2 linked regions of the Stegostoma tigrinum genome follow. The main gene of each other region encodes a partner of the protein of the gene in region 2 in a complex. Links are inferred from orthologs where the notes say so. Each region holds a gene or a part of one and is shown on either strand. Other genes may lie near its edges.

Region 1 (7,567 bases), on a different chromosome or scaffold from region 2:
CAGCACTGACCCTCCAACAGTGCCCACTCCCTCAGCACTGACCCTCCGACAGTGCCCACTCCCTCAGTGCTGACCCTCCGACAGTGCAGCGCTCACACAGCACTGACTCTCCGACAGTGCCCGCTCCCTCAGTGCTGACCCTCCAACAGTGCCCACTCCCTCAGCACTGACCATCCGACAGTGTGGCACTCCCAGCACTGACCCTCCAACATTGCCCGGTCCCCCAGCACTGACCCTCCGACAGTGCGGCGCTCCCTCAGCACTGACCCTCCAACAGTGCAGCACTCCCTCAGTACTGACCCTCTGACAGCGCCCACTCCCTCAGCACTGACCCTCCGACAGTGCAGCACTCCCTCAGCGCTGAGCCTCCAAGATAAGGCTGAAGCTTTCACAGTGACCGTCAACCAGAAATGCTGATCGAATGATCCATTTTGGCCTTCTCCAGACATTCCCAGCAATGCAACTATCAGTCTTCAGCCAATTTGAAATGGTTGAGATGCTGGATACTGCAAAGGCTGGAACTGAGAGTCAATGTTGGTCAGTTAGCAGAGAGGGAATGGGTGAATGTGACTTGGCAACAAGTTTGGACAAAGAGGCAGTGCTGAATTTTACAGAGAATGGGATCTAGCCGGGGAACCTTACAATCACCTTGTCTAGATATAACAAGGAATGTGTGTTTCAGCAGGTCATGGGCAGAGGTTGGGTTTGATTTAAACAACGATAATATGAGTCAGCCTACACTTTTATAACGCTGTACGTTGAAGTGAGATGATGACATATAGAGTGTGTATTTAATCATCACATACCGCAACACATCATTTATTTTACAAATTTAAATGTATCAGATTATTAATTCTCTCACATAACAACAGACTGGCTGCAAACATATCAACAGTTACATAATTTTCAAAAATGTATTAACAAAGGGCATTTTTTCACACAGTTTAGTTCAGGTGTTAATGTTTATTTATTGCTAAGTCATTGTATTTGTTAAACAGTAATTTTTTCATTGAGTACAAGTGGCAGATGTTCAGAAACGTGAAACAAAAGAAAGGGATGGAGCACCCCAGCAGATCAATCAATGTGTTGCCGACTGAGTGCACATTTCAACAGGACAGCTGTCCACCTCTGATAACAAAACTCAAAAGTGTATCAAGCAGCAGGAGGGTCAGTAACCAGGGGGCGATGGGGACAGTGGGAGGCAATGGCCTAGTGGTATTGTCACTGGTCTGTTAATCCAGAGACCCAGATAAGGTCCTGAACACCAGGATTCGAATCCCACCATAGCAGATAGTAGAATTTGAATTCAATAAAAAATCTGTAATTGAGAGTCGAATGGTGACTGTGAATTCACTGCTGATTGTTGGGGAATAAAACCTATCTGGTTCATAAATGCCCTCTAGGGAAGGAAACTGCCATCCTTACCTGGTCTGGCCTCCATGTAACTGCAGACACACAGCAATGTGGTCCTCTGGTGTGTGGGTAATAAATGCCGGCCTGAGAAGTTAAACTCTCATCCTGTTAATGAACAAAAACAAAGGGAACTGTCATATGTTCATTCCCAAGGTGGCCAGCTGCTAGGGGCAGTGGGGAAATGTCATCTCACAGAGCTCATTGTCGTAATCTAGAGTGTGTTGTGTGAAAGAGGACGGACCAGATTCAATATTAACTTTCAAAAGGGTATTGGATACACCATTGAAAGTAAAAACCTGCCAGGCATTGGGGAAGAAGTGGACAGGGTACTCATTCAATTTTAAAATTCTTATTCTTGTTTGCAGTCTGTCTGTGATATTACCCTGTTTCAATCGTCCAACCACCAGCAGCTGCCTGGGCCCTGAGCTCTCAACTTCTTTCTCTAACCCTCTCCACCCTCTACCTCTCTATCCACTTTCAAAACACTCCTTCAACTTAACCTCTCTGACTGAGCTTGGGTCACCTGTCCTAATATCACCCCTTGTGACACAGGGTCAGGTTTTGCTTGTTGATTCTTCCTCCGATGGTCCTTGAGATGGATTAGTAGGGATGCAGTCACAGATGTTAAAGGTGCCATATAAATGAAGATTGTTGCTGTTGTTCTCAGTCATACAGAAATCTACACACATCCTCATGTTACAAGAATTGCAAGGAGTGTCTACCACCTTGTTGTAAACATTCAGCTACATACCCGATGGATCCCACACCATTACACAACTATTCAGAGCTCGAGGGGTAAGTGTGGGTTTTATTGAGGACCAGGTTAGTACGGTGCCTGCTGTATTCTTCCGTGAGGAGGTTATTGAGGCTAGAGGAGGTGGACTTGCAGACAGTTCAATTCCGCATCTCCTGATTTGTCGTCTCCTGTGGACAAATGTTTAAGGAGTTTGATGGATGGTTGTTTCTTGTGAGTGGTATCAGATCATTCCAGGCTCTGTGGGAGGCAGGAATAACATTACCAAAGTGGCAGTGTGTCCTGGTGTTGTACACTCAGACCTTGGGGGGATGGTATCCCGTGTCCTTGAGCCATCATTGGTCTGCATGCTCTTACCCAGAGGCTTGGAGAAAGGGCATGAACTACAACAAGCTTCTCACTGAGTGTGTGCTGATACTCAGCTGGAACAGAGCGGGGCCTCTGCTGGTCTTCAGATGGGCTAAAGTGGGGTCTCTACTGGTGCTCAGCTGGGACGCAGCAGGGTCTGTGCTGGTGCTGCCAGCTGGGACAGAGCGGGATCAGTGCTGGTGCTGCCAGCTGGGACAGAGCGGGGTCTGTGTTGGTGCTGGGACAGAGCGGGGTCTGTGTTGGTGCTAGGACAGAGCGGGGTTCTGTGTTGGTGCTGCCAGCGGGGACAGAGCGGGGTTTCTGCTGGTGCTGCCAGCTGGGACAGAGCGGGTTCTGTGCTGGCGCTGCCAGCTGGGACAGAGTTGGATCTGTGTTGGTGCTGCCAGCTGGGACAGAGCGGGGTTTCTGCTGGTGCTGCCAGCTGGGACAGAGCAAGGTCTGTGTTGGTGCTGCCAGCTGGGACAGAGCGGGGTTTCTGCTGGTGCTGCCAGCTGGGACAGAGCGGATTCTGTGTTGGTGCTGCCAGCTGCTGCTGGCTGTAGATGAAGAAGCACGTGTCCCAGCAGTGATAACCTCACTGTACAATCCAGGATGTGTTTTATATGTATATAGAAACACAATCTCAGAGCTTTAATGAATAATTCAATCAGCTCTGACCATCAGGTTGTGCCCGAACTGACAGCCTTCCTTCATTGTTCATTCTAGAAATAAAACGTTTCGGTAAACTGTATCAGGAACAAACAGGAAGCAATTTCTTGGCTGACTGGTTCACCTGTCTCCATGGTAACCATAATCTTATTTCCCCAAGTGATGGAAAACAAAGACATTGCATTGATCCAAGAACCCACGACAACAGAAAAGGAAACTTTCCAAAGGGAGATTGTGAAAAGTCAAACTGGGACAAACGTGAGTTTTCAGTTATCGCGAAGGTACCAGCTATTCCCACTGGATAAATAGGAGGCCCCTAATAAACTGAAATTCCAGGATCCTAACTCCAGAATAACCGAAGGCACAAAAACTTGTCACACCACTGCTCCAACCAAACAGAGCGGATTTAGACCATGCTCCAGTACACTCACAGGGAACTGTTATCCATGATCTATCAGCGAGTATGAGACCATCCGACACAGAATAGCTAAGCCTGAGAGAATGGTGGCCGGCACTGTTAATCAGAGACAAAGTGAAGAGGATGCAGCGAGTGAAAACTGGACATCAGTAAGGAGTGCCAGATTCCATCATTGAGATGGCCAATGATTGTGAAGAGTGGGAATTCTCTCCAGTGAAGAAAAGGATGAGACTGGCTGCCTTTCCTGATGGCAAAGGAGATGTGTTGTACTGGTTCAAGCACAGAACGATCCCACCTTTGACCCAATCTGAGTCACAAGGAGTTCACCCACACCGATGGAGAACTGCACCCATTCAAAATAAGCTGTAGCATTGCCTTCTCTGCAATTAGCAAGGACGGAGCGGGTTCGAGGTTCATCCCAAACAGCTCCATGATGCAGGGCTCTGTGCTCTGCAGAATGTTCCCCAGGATACACACCGAGAGAAACTTTGACTGTGCCTGTAGGACCATCAACTTTTTGATCCGCCCAAAACTTGTTGGTCTTCCAGAGCAAGGAGTTGACCTTAACCGAGTGTTGCAGACTGGCACATTCCATTGTACAGGAATACCTGCTGAGGGATGCACTAAAGCTTGGGGCAACTGCTGCCAAGGGGCATTGGGGAAAGACCACTGTCTGAGGTCTTTCTGCTGAAGTTAAAGGGGGTCTGTTCAGTTATCAGTCCCTCCTGGCACCTCCAATATAAATAAATTTGGTCCTCTACAAATACAGGATTTGGTCTGACCGCTGGATAGAGTTAAACTTCAATGTTTGTTTGTTTCTTCATATGCTACTGTATAGAACCGAACTGCCTTAGTGGCCATGTATGTATATAATGATATTTTCATGAATAAAGTATATTTTTGACATTAAAAAAAGGTTTTGTGGGGAAGAAGCTGCAGGTTAAAACTGCAGCGACAAATGGTCAGCTACAAAGCTATCCTCCCAAGGCCTGAACAAGGATATATCAGAAAACACTTTCCCAGGTGAATGAAATGGGACTGTTAAACCTCCTGCTGTCAAGTGACACTTTGCTGTTTAAAGTTGAAATGGGTAACAGTGCAAGCTGAAGTGATGAACATGACACTGCTGTTCTCTGCAGCACTGAAAGGCTGCCGTTTCTTGTTCCAGCCCAAGAAGTCACTTCGCTTCACAAATGTTCAAGACACATAGGGTAAGGTGAACAAATTCAATCTGGATGATGTCCAGCATTTCTGAGGCACACGTTGGAAAATTTTACTGAAATGTAGCAATGAAAAGGAGAGGAAAGTTATAGTCAAGATAGACACTGCCCCAGTGCAGCAACGCACCCCCCCCCAACATCACACACCTGAAGAGTCTTCTTCTCATGTTCAACGTTCTCAATGCCCCAGAAAAGCTCCAGCCAATGGACAAGGGGTAATGAGGGCAACTGTCAATGGCAGCTGATCTCTCAGGATGTTGATGTCATCAGTAAGAGCAGGGAAGATGGAAGAGCCCAGCAACACATAAGGCTGAAGTATTTGCAATAATCTTCAGCCAGAACTGCCTCCTCCAGTGGTCCCCAGCACCACAGGTACCAGTCTTCAGCCAATTTGATTCACTCCACATGATATCAAGAAACGGTTGGAGACACTGGATACTGCAAAGCCTGTGGGCCCTGACAACATTCTGGCAACAGTACTGAAGGCTTGTGCTCCAGAACTTGACACTCCCCGAGCCAAGCTGTTCTGGTACAGTTACAACATCAGCATCAACCCGACAATGTGGAAAATTGCCCAAGTATGTCCTCACCTCAAAAAACAAGACAAATCCAACCCGACCAATTCCCGGCCCATCAGTCGCCTCTCGATCATCAGTAAAGTGATGGAAGGTGTCAGTAACAGAGCTATCAAGCAGCACCAGCTCAGAAATAACCTGCTCAATGATGCCCAGTTTAGGTTCTGCCAGGGCCACTCAGCTCCTGATCTCATTACAGCCTTGGTTCAAAGATGGGCAAAAGAGCTGAATTCCATAGGTGAGGTGAGAGTGACAACCATGAAATCAAGGCTGCATTTGACCAAGTGGGCATTAAGGAGCCCGAGCAAAACTGGATTCAATGGGTATCAGGGGAAAATTCTCCAGCGGTTAGAGTCATACCTAACACACAAGAAGATGGTTGTGGTTATTGGAGGTCAGTCATCTCAGCTCCAGGACATTTCTGAATAAGTTCCTCAGGATAGTTCTGGATGTAAGTTTGCTCACTGAGCTGGAAGGTTAGTTTTCAGACGTTTTGTCACCATTCTAGGTAACATCATCAGTGAGCCTCCGACGAAGCGCTGGTGTTATGTCCCACTTTCTATTTATCTGTTTAGGTTTCCTTCCTCAGGATAGTGTCCTAGGCCCAACCATCTTCACCTGCTCCATCAATGACCTTCCCTCCATCATAAGGTCAGAAGTGGGGATGTTCGCCGATGATTGCACAATGTTCAGCACCATTCGTGACTCCTCGGATACTGAAGCAGTTCCAGTTCAAATGCAACAAGATCTGGACAATAGCCAAGTTTGGTCTGAAAAGTGGTAAACAACATTCGTAGTACACAAATGCCAGGTAATGACTGTCTCTAATAAGAAACAATCTAGCCACCACCCATTAACACTGAATGGTGTTATCATCACTGAATCACCCACTATCAGCATCCTGGGGGTTAGCATTGACCACATCCCTAACCCCATCTCTTGCCTTTATTGGTCAGTGCATTGACTATAGGAGTTGGGAGGTCATGTTGCAACTGTACAGGACATTGGCCAGGGCACTTTTGGAATACTGCATTCAGTTATGGTCTCCCTCCTATAGGAAAGATGTTGACAGGGTGCAGAAGGGTTGGAGGGTTTGAGTTACAGGGAGAGGCTGAATAGGCTGGGGCTATTTTCCCTGGAGCGTCGGAGGCTGAGGGGGGGACCCTCTGGAGGTTTATAAAATCATGAGGGGCATGGATAGGGATAGCCAAGGCCTTTTCCCCAGGGTTAAGGTGTTCAAAACTAGAGAGCATAGGTTTAAGGTGAGAGGGGAAAGATTTAAAAGGGACCTAAAGGGAAATGTTTTCACACAGAAGGTGGTGCGTGTATGGACTGAGCTGCCGGAGGAAGTGGTGGAGGCTGGTACAATTACAACATTGAAAAAGCATCTGGATGGGTACATGAATAGAAAGGGTTTACAGGGACTTGGACCAAGTGCTGGCAAATGGGACTAGATTAATTTAGGAAGTCTGGTTGGTATGGACGCGTTGGAAAGAAGGGTCTATTTCTGCAATGTCCATCTTTATGACTCTATAAACTGAACTGGACTAACCAGATAAATGTAGTAGCTATAAGAGCAGGTCCATGAATTCTGCAGTGAATAACTCACCAGACTCCCCAAAGCCTGCTCACCAGCTACGAGGCACTAATCAGGAGTGTGATGCAATACTCCCCATTTGCCTGGATGGGTGCAGCTCTAACACTCAAGAAGTTCGACACCATCCAGGGTGAAGCAGCCCCCTCTTGATTGGCACCACATCCACAAGCATTCACTCCATCCACCACCAACACTCAGTAGCAGCAGTGTGTACCATCTACAAGGTGCACTGCAGAAACTCACCAAAGATCCTTACTCAGACAACACCTTCCAATTCCACAGTCTCTTCCTTGAAGGACAAGAGCAGCAGATACATGGGAACACCGCCCCCTGCAAGGTCCCCTCCAAACCACACACCATCTGACTTGGAAATACATCACCGTTCCTTCACTGTCACTGGGTCAGAATCCAGGAACTCCTTCTCTAAGGGCATTGTGAGGCTAACTACAGCACATATACAGCAGTGGTTCAGGAAGGCAGCTCATCACCACTTTCCCAGAAGCAACTGGGGACAGGTGATAAGTGCTGGCCTAGCCAGTGATGCTCACGTTCCACGAATGGAAATTTAACCCC
Region 2 (7,912 bases):
TCCACCGGGCAGAAGATTCAAAAGTTTGAAAACCTGTACTGATAGATTGACGAACAGCTCTTTCCCCACTGTTATCAGACTAATGATCAGACCTCTTATGCATTAGAGTTGATCTTTCTCTGCACCTTCTCTGTAGCTGTCACATTGTATTCTGCATTGTTATACTTTAAAGAAGGTTTGATTTGTCTGGTTAGTACAGAAAATAAATACTTTTCACTATATCTCAGTACATGTGACAATAATAAATCAAATCAAATTAAATCTTTCTTAATACATTTTATTCATCAATTGTGATTGGTCACCTTCATTTTTCCCACAGAATTGAAATATTTTGTGGGCATAAAAAAAATCCAATCTAAGAAGAAAGACAGGAGATGTTTCGACAATATTTCCATTCTGGCCATGTTTGTCCCTTAGTCAATATCACTCTCCCAGATAATTTGGTTATTATCATATTGCTGTTAGTGGGATCTTGCTGTGTGTGAAATGGCCTCTGCATTTCCAACAACAGTGACTATATTTCAACAGCATTTAACTGGCTTAAACACTTTGAGATGTATAGTATTTGTGAAACCTACTCTATCAATGGGGAGTTGATAAAACCACAAAAGCACCTATGCATATTATTGCATCCTCACTCCCCTCATCATCTGTACCCAGCCACTCCATGGAAGCAACTGATCCCATCAGCAGTCTTAATTCCACGGTAAAATTGAAAGGCCCACTTATGGAATCCCAGTTTTTCTGGAAAGACTATTCTCTGGTGAACAACTCTGGTTTTATGCTCACAGGACAAGTTCACTGAATCTTACAACTTAATGTTGTGGGTCTGTCAGCCAACAAGTCTCATTAGATGTCATTCCACCCAAAACCCCTTTTAACATCATTTGCCTAGAACTGACCCATACTGGAGCTGAGGAAGGAGTTTTTTTTATTACAGCAATGATTTTAACCTACATTACTACTCCCCTTATGCTAAATACAGTTGTACCAGAAGACCATAAGACGTAGAAGCACAATTCGGCTATTGGGTCAATAGAATCTGTTCCACCGTTCGGTTATTCCTGATAGCTTTCTCAAACCTATTGTCCTGTCTTCTCCCTGCTACTCTTGATCCCCTCCCTTTTCAATCAAGAACCAGTCTACTCCCTCTTAAAGACACACAATGATTTGGCTTCCACAGCTGTCTGTGGCCGTGCGTTCCACAGAATAACCACCCTCTGACTGAAGAAGTTCCTCCTCATCTCAATTATAAAGAGTAGTCCCTTCACTCTAAGACTGTCCTACTAGTGGAAACAACTTCTCTACTTTCACTCTATCAGGCCTCTCAGTATTCTGTAAGTTTCAAGATTCCCTCCCCCATCCTCCTAAAAGCTATTCAACATTGCCAATGAAGCCCGTCTTGACATCACCCAAGTTCTGGTATACAATTCAGGTTGGCAGTTTTTATCCTGCAAAAATGTCAAAGTTTGTCTCCAAGTGTAAACATCTCCAAGTGCCAGCTGGGAACAGCAAGTTCTGCTAATACTGCCAGCTTTGTGGGAGATTTCAACAGCCATTGCAGTGTTTAGGATTACTCAGTGTCAGACGGTGATGGTAAGCAGCTCCCACAGTACACCTCCAGAAACAATCTTATCCTGATACATCACCTGAAACAACAGGGAATGTTCTATTCAGCCGGACGCAGTTATAACTACTCACCTGACTGGGTGGTGGCTCTGATCATTTAATGGATTTCCTCACCAGCAGAGTGTCCAGTTCTGGACAACTCCCCACAGAGTCAACACAGGGGACCACTCATACACAATGTTCGCTATCTTCCACTTCTCTACCATTGCATGGAAGATTTGATAGTTCTTCTGTAAAGCAGATTGGTGAATATACAGTGGGGCTTTGGGCAGCACAATGACTCAGCAGCTAGCACCTCTGCCTCACAGCGTCAAGGACCTGGGTCTCATTCCAGCCTGGGGTGACTGTCCTTTTGGAGTTTGTACATTCTCCCTGTGTCTGTGTGGGTTTCCTCCCACAGTCCAAAGATGTGCAGGTTAGGTTGTCTGGCCATGCTAAATTGCTCTGTAGTTTCCAGAGATGTGTAGGCTAGATGCAGCAGCCATAGTAAATATGGAGTTAGAGGGACTGGGTGAGGGACTGGGTCTCGGTGGGATGCTCTTCAGACGGCAGTTGCAGACTCAGTGGACTGAATGACCTCTTCCCGCACTGTGGACATTCTATGATATCATTGTTATCATTTATCATATATGTTATTTAAAACTATGCATAAGATGCCTATGGGAGAATTAAATAAGGAGTTTTGTGGTGCCTTTCACAAAGCTGCTTGTATCAGCCTACCTTTATCCCATGTCTTGATAAGAGAATTCAGTGCCCCTAAAGCAATGTGAATCACTTGGTGACCCTGATAAACAGACCAAGACAGGGTCCCTTGATACTGCGCATCACCCCAGAAAGGAGGGAATGATAGGAGGGTTCACTTTCACTCAGTGCAGTCCCAAGTGCTGGAACCTCATTGGGTACCTTGGAGCAGCCATAAAGTAACCCGCACCAACTTGACTATCAATCACCCTGAACCATGTTGCTAGATACCTACTCCATGTAGCAAGGACTCTGTTGGAAGCTGAACAAGACACTAATCTGCAAAGAATTGGAAAAAAACAATGCCAACAAAATGCAGAGCATGGCTGTCCTGACCCCTTCACGATCACAGAACTTGCAAAGTAAAACAGTGAGATATGACAACTTTGCACCAAAATTTTTAAGACTTATGTCCACTGTGCTAATGCTTGATTTACTTAGCTCTCCACAAGAATCAAACTTATTCAAAAAGGTGCAACAATGAAAAAGTCATTCCAAAATATAGAAAAGATCTCAGCTATTAACTGATTTTGCTACATTTTTGCATGTTTTCGATCAATGAGTATCTTGTCCTCTGATGCATGTCTCCAGAAGGATAGACCATCCTGGATGTCAACCAAGCTGGTTTCCATAAGTGGCACAGCACATGTGATCAGCTTCTGACACCCACCAGATACAACAGTTCCAAAAGACCATGAAGACAGGTACACTGCTACTAGACCTTACAGCTGCCAAAGTCACAGAGTGGACTGCTCCTTAAACCATCCAGAGTTCTTCTAACCTGGTCAGGACCATTGTTAAAACACTCCTTCACAAGAGGCAATTTGGAGTGAGGAGGTAGTAGTGTTTTGGTAATGTCACTGGACTAGTAATTCAGTAATCCAGATTCTAATGCTCTGGGGACCCAGTCAAGGCTAGAATGTAGGAGCAGGGATGTTGAACTGCTGAGGCTGAATAAGGCTCTGGCCAGACCACATTCGGAATGTTGTGAGCAGTTTTGGGCCCCATAACTTAGGAAAATATGATGGTCTTGGAGGGGTTCCAGAGGAGGTTTGCAAGAATGATCCCAGGGATTAACAGCTTGTAAAATGAGGAGCAGTTCAGGAATCTGGTCTGTGCTTAGTGGAGTTTAGAAGGATTGGAGGGTTCTAATTGAAACTTACAGAACACAGGCCTGGATAGAGTATATGTGGAGAAGATGTTTGCACTATTAGGAGAGGCCAGGACATGAGGCACAGCCTCAGGGTGAAGGAATGACCCTTTCAATTCTGTGCAACTCATTACTGTGGAGGCCAAGTCATTGTACCTATGGTATTGAGGAACATATCGGCCATGGCTGAATGGTGGAGCAGATACAATGGGCCAATTGGCCTGATTCTGCTTCCATATTTTACGGTCTTATGTATTTGAATATGAACATGGTGAAATTTAAATTCAGTAAAAAGATTGTGATTAAAAGCTAACCTGATTGTGACATATAAGCACAATTGATTGTTATACAAACCCAGCTGCTTCACTAATGTAAAATAGAAAAAGAAATCTGCCATCATTACCTGGCCTGGCCTACATGCACTCCAAACTAACACAAATAATATGACTCCTAACTAATTTTTAAAGCATCTAGCTAGCTTTTAAGTTCCATGGCAATTAGAACAGAGAATATAGAACACTACAGCGCAATACAGGCCTTTGGCCCTCGATGTTGCGCAGACCTGTGAAACTAAACTGAAGCCCATATAACCTACACTATTCCATTCCATTAGGATTGGGCAATAAATGCTGGCCTAGCTAGCAATGCCCACTTCCTATGAACGAATGAAAAAAAATCACCTTGGACAAGGGAGAAATGCATGGAGACATCTGGCCAATGGATACCGCATGGCTCAGTGTTAATCTAATCCTTTTCATACAACCTATCAACAACCGCATCTTGCAAGTTCAACGATGCTGTAACTTCTGTTGTGCCATCAAAGTCTATCCTCTGCATCCTGGATCAGATTCTTAACAAAGATACCACTCTATCAAAGTCTTTCTCAATTTTAATTTTCTTGCATTTTCATATATTCAATTTTCCTGTCCAGCCCAGACCATGCCACAGCACCAAGAACACACAATTGCAAAGATTATGTTTCGCTTTAGTAAGAATAGGGGCTGTCTTTGGTTGGGATGTTTGAAAACGTAACCATGCATCATTCCGCCTGATTGAGAGAAAATAATGAAGCAGGAAGGGGGAAAGGAGGCAGCTGTTCCCCCTCCCACCCAAAGGAATAAGAAATAATATAAAATAAAACAAAGAACTGCGGATCTTAAGCATAACCTGCTGGAGCCTCTCAGCAGATCTGTGGGGGAGGAAACAGGATTAACATTGCGGGTTCAATGAAAGAGTGAAAGATGACAGTGAGTTGTATTCAGAGAAATTGAAAGTGCCTGGGGAATGTTGCAATGAGCCTAGCCCAGTCAGGTTGATACAGCTGGTGACAGGTGACTGGGCGTTGACCTTTTGTGGGGGAAGGAGACCCGGAAGTAGTTACTGGTTGACAAGGAGCCGAATCAAAGATGGCGCTGCGACCAGGCGGTGGCGGCGGTGGTAGCAGCAGCAATGGCACTGGCGGTAACGGCAGTGGGTAAGTGTAGAAACATCGACTTTCCTCGTTTCTTTATTGGTATAATTATTATAAATGGTGAACGAAATCAGGAGATGATTTATGAATGGCTGGGCGGCCGGCTCGATTCATCGCGGAGCCGGTGGCCGCCTCTCTGCCTTTAAGATGATGCTGAGCAAATGGGGTTAGTCTGGGTCAGTGAGCAAGAGCCCGTTTCCCTCCCTCCCTCTGCCTTCACGCACACACACTTTAATATTTACCATCTGATAGCCTAGATACCACCGGACAACTCTTACTTCTGATTATCTGATCTTTTAAATTATATTTCCATTGAGTCGATTGTTTCCTTTATAAATGGGTAAAGGCTGATCTCCGCACGATTTTATTTTACGTTTTAAACTTTCTTCTCTCTCTTACCCCTCCCCTTCCACTTTAATTTTGTGTTGATCCGTTTTATTTTTCTAAAAGTAAACCTTAGGTGGATTGTTGCCGAATGGAAGTACACGCAGATACCCCTTTCCCCTTATTTTGAGCCTGTGAAGTTCTGCTGTCTGAATTGAACGGGAAGCTGCACACTGAATAATTCATGTTCCCTGAAGGAGATCGTGCTTCATGTATCTTTCATCTCACCCTATCACCTTTCATCTGACCCAGCTAAATTAGGTGGACGTTTCTTGATCGAATTCGATCTTCAAAAAAAAATTGAATTGTAATTCCCTCTTTCTGTATCTCGTGTGTTGTCGGGCAATAAAAGTATTCATAAACTCCCTTAATGTAGCTGCAATGATCTTTGCAGTTTGCAGTATGCCAGTAAAAAGGCAAGGGGGTAAATGAGCTTTGATATTATTTCACTTCCCAGTGAGTGTGTGTATGTGTAGGAAAAGAATAATTATACTACTTGTACTCAGCAGATTTGGGTGTACCTTACTTTTAATTTTAGGCACACCTGGAATGGAAAAAGTTGACTTTGTGGGCCTTTTGGTCTCTGCCATGTATTCTGTTTTGTTGCATTGGTTGGTATTAAAAATTAACATTACAAGAATTTGCAAGTTGTGATACTTTGAAGGCTGTTTAAAGTTGCTGACCTTTTTACATGTGTGCAATAGTGGCAAACTATTTAGCACAGTACTTATGGCTTTGAATAATTACCCCACTCCCCACTATCTCCAGAAAAAAAGACTGCTGAGTAACTGCAGTAGATTCCAAAGTTGACCAAATAATCTTGTGATGATTGAATACTTGATTTTGTCCTTACTCTCCCCTCTGCAGGCATGTTATGATTCGATCTGTAATTTGTGTTACTTGTCAATCAAGTAGATGAATTTTACTATCTTAACTTTGACGCATAACGAAAGTTGACAAGTACTTGATTGAGGGTTGCTAAAAAAATTTTTCACTTCCTCAATATATTTAATGTTTTAAGAATTCCTGTTAAATGTGACTGTTATTTAAAATGCAGGACTGGCAGCTTAATGTTCCAGGGTATAGATGCTATACGAAGGATAGAAAGGTGGGCAAGAGAGAAGGGGGTTAGCGTTGTTCGTTAAAGAACATTGCATTTGACCTAGGGAGGATATTCCTGGGAGAATGTCCAGTGATCTTATATAAGTAGAACTGAGAAATCAAGGGATGATCACCTATTTGGGATTGTACTGTAGGATCCCAAATAGTCAGTGGGAAACTGAGAAGCAAACATGTAAGGGGATCTCAGATATCTGTAAGAATAATAGGCTTGTAATGATAGGGGATTTTAACTTTCCAAACATTGACCGGGGCTGTTGTTAAGGGCTTGAATGGAGAGGAATTTAAGTGTATACAAGAAAACTGTATTACTCGATATGTAGATGTACCTATTACAGAAGGAGCAAAACTTGACCATCTCTTGGGAAATAAGATAGGGCAAGTGACTGAGATATCAGTGACAGATCACCTAGGGGCCATTGATCATAATTTTATTCATTTTAAAATAGTTGTGACAAAAGATAGAACTGATCTAAAAGTTAATGTTCTAAATTGGAGTAAGGCCAATTTTGATAGTATTGAGTAGGACCTTTCAAAAGTTGACTGGGGAAAGCTGTTTATCGGCAAAAGGTATGGTTGGAAAATGGGACACCTTCAAAAATGAGACCACGCGAGCTCAGAGACAGTATGCTCCTGTTAGTGCGAAAGGCAAGGCTGGTAGGTGTAGGTAATGCTGGATGACTGGAGAAATTCAGGGTTTATTCAAGAAAAAGAAGGAGGCATATGTCAGATGTACTTATCTGAGATCAAGTGAATACCTAGATGAGAATAAAGGCTGTAGAACTATATTTAAGCGTGAAATCGAGAAGCCAAAAGGGGGACATGAGATAGCGTTGGCATGCAAGGTTAAGGAGAATCCAAAGATTTTACATATGCATTAAGGAGAAAAAGTGACTAGGAAGACAAAGGTGATCCTTAAAGATCAACAAGGCTGTCTGTGTGGAGCTGAAGGATATGGGTGAAAAGCTAAATGAATATTTCATTTCAGTATTTACTGTGAAGAAGGACATGGAAACTAGAGAACTTAGAAATAAGTAGTGATATCATGAAAAGTGTCCATATTACAGAAGAGGAGATCTGAAAGATCAGCATAAAGATAAATCAATCCCTGGGACCTGATCACGTGTGCCCCAGAACTTCATGGGAAGCGAGGGTAGAGATTGCTGGGCCCGAACTGAGAGACTTATATCATTGACGGCTATGGGTGAGGTGCCAGAAGACTGCAGGCTGGTCAATGTGTCATTATTTAAGAAAGGTGGTAAAGAAAAGCCAGGAAACTATAGACAAGTGAGCTTGATGTCAGTGGTTGGTAAATAAATGGAGTGAATTCTGAGGGACAGAATTTACATGCATTTTGAAAGGCAAAGACTGTTTAGGACTAATCAACGTGGCTTTGTGTGTGGGAAGTTGTGTCTCAC

What was found. The genes of interacting proteins can lie anywhere in the genome.
Region 1: synrg (region 2) and aftiphilin-like share a complex: the UniProt entries of both Homo sapiens proteins name them as parts of the aftiphilin/p200/gamma-synergin complex. The link is inferred for Stegostoma tigrinum from reciprocal best matches to the Homo sapiens genes SYNRG and AFTPH.

Annotation. Positions count from the first base shown.
Region 1 is NC_081362.1:1,991,194-1,998,760, reverse strand, and holds the start of aftiphilin-like, read right to left. Parts: upstream 3,009-7,567; 5' UTR 1,426-3,008; intron 1-1,425. UniProt on the Homo sapiens protein: Component of clathrin-coated vesicles.
Region 2 is NC_081380.1:33,746,578-33,754,489, reverse strand, and holds the start of synrg (synergin gamma), read left to right. Parts: upstream 1-4,900; 5' UTR 4,901-4,926; coding exon 4,927-4,994; intron 4,995-7,912. UniProt on the Homo sapiens protein: Plays a role in endocytosis and/or membrane trafficking at the trans-Golgi network (TGN). May act by linking the adapter protein complex AP-1 to other proteins. Component of clathrin-coated vesicles.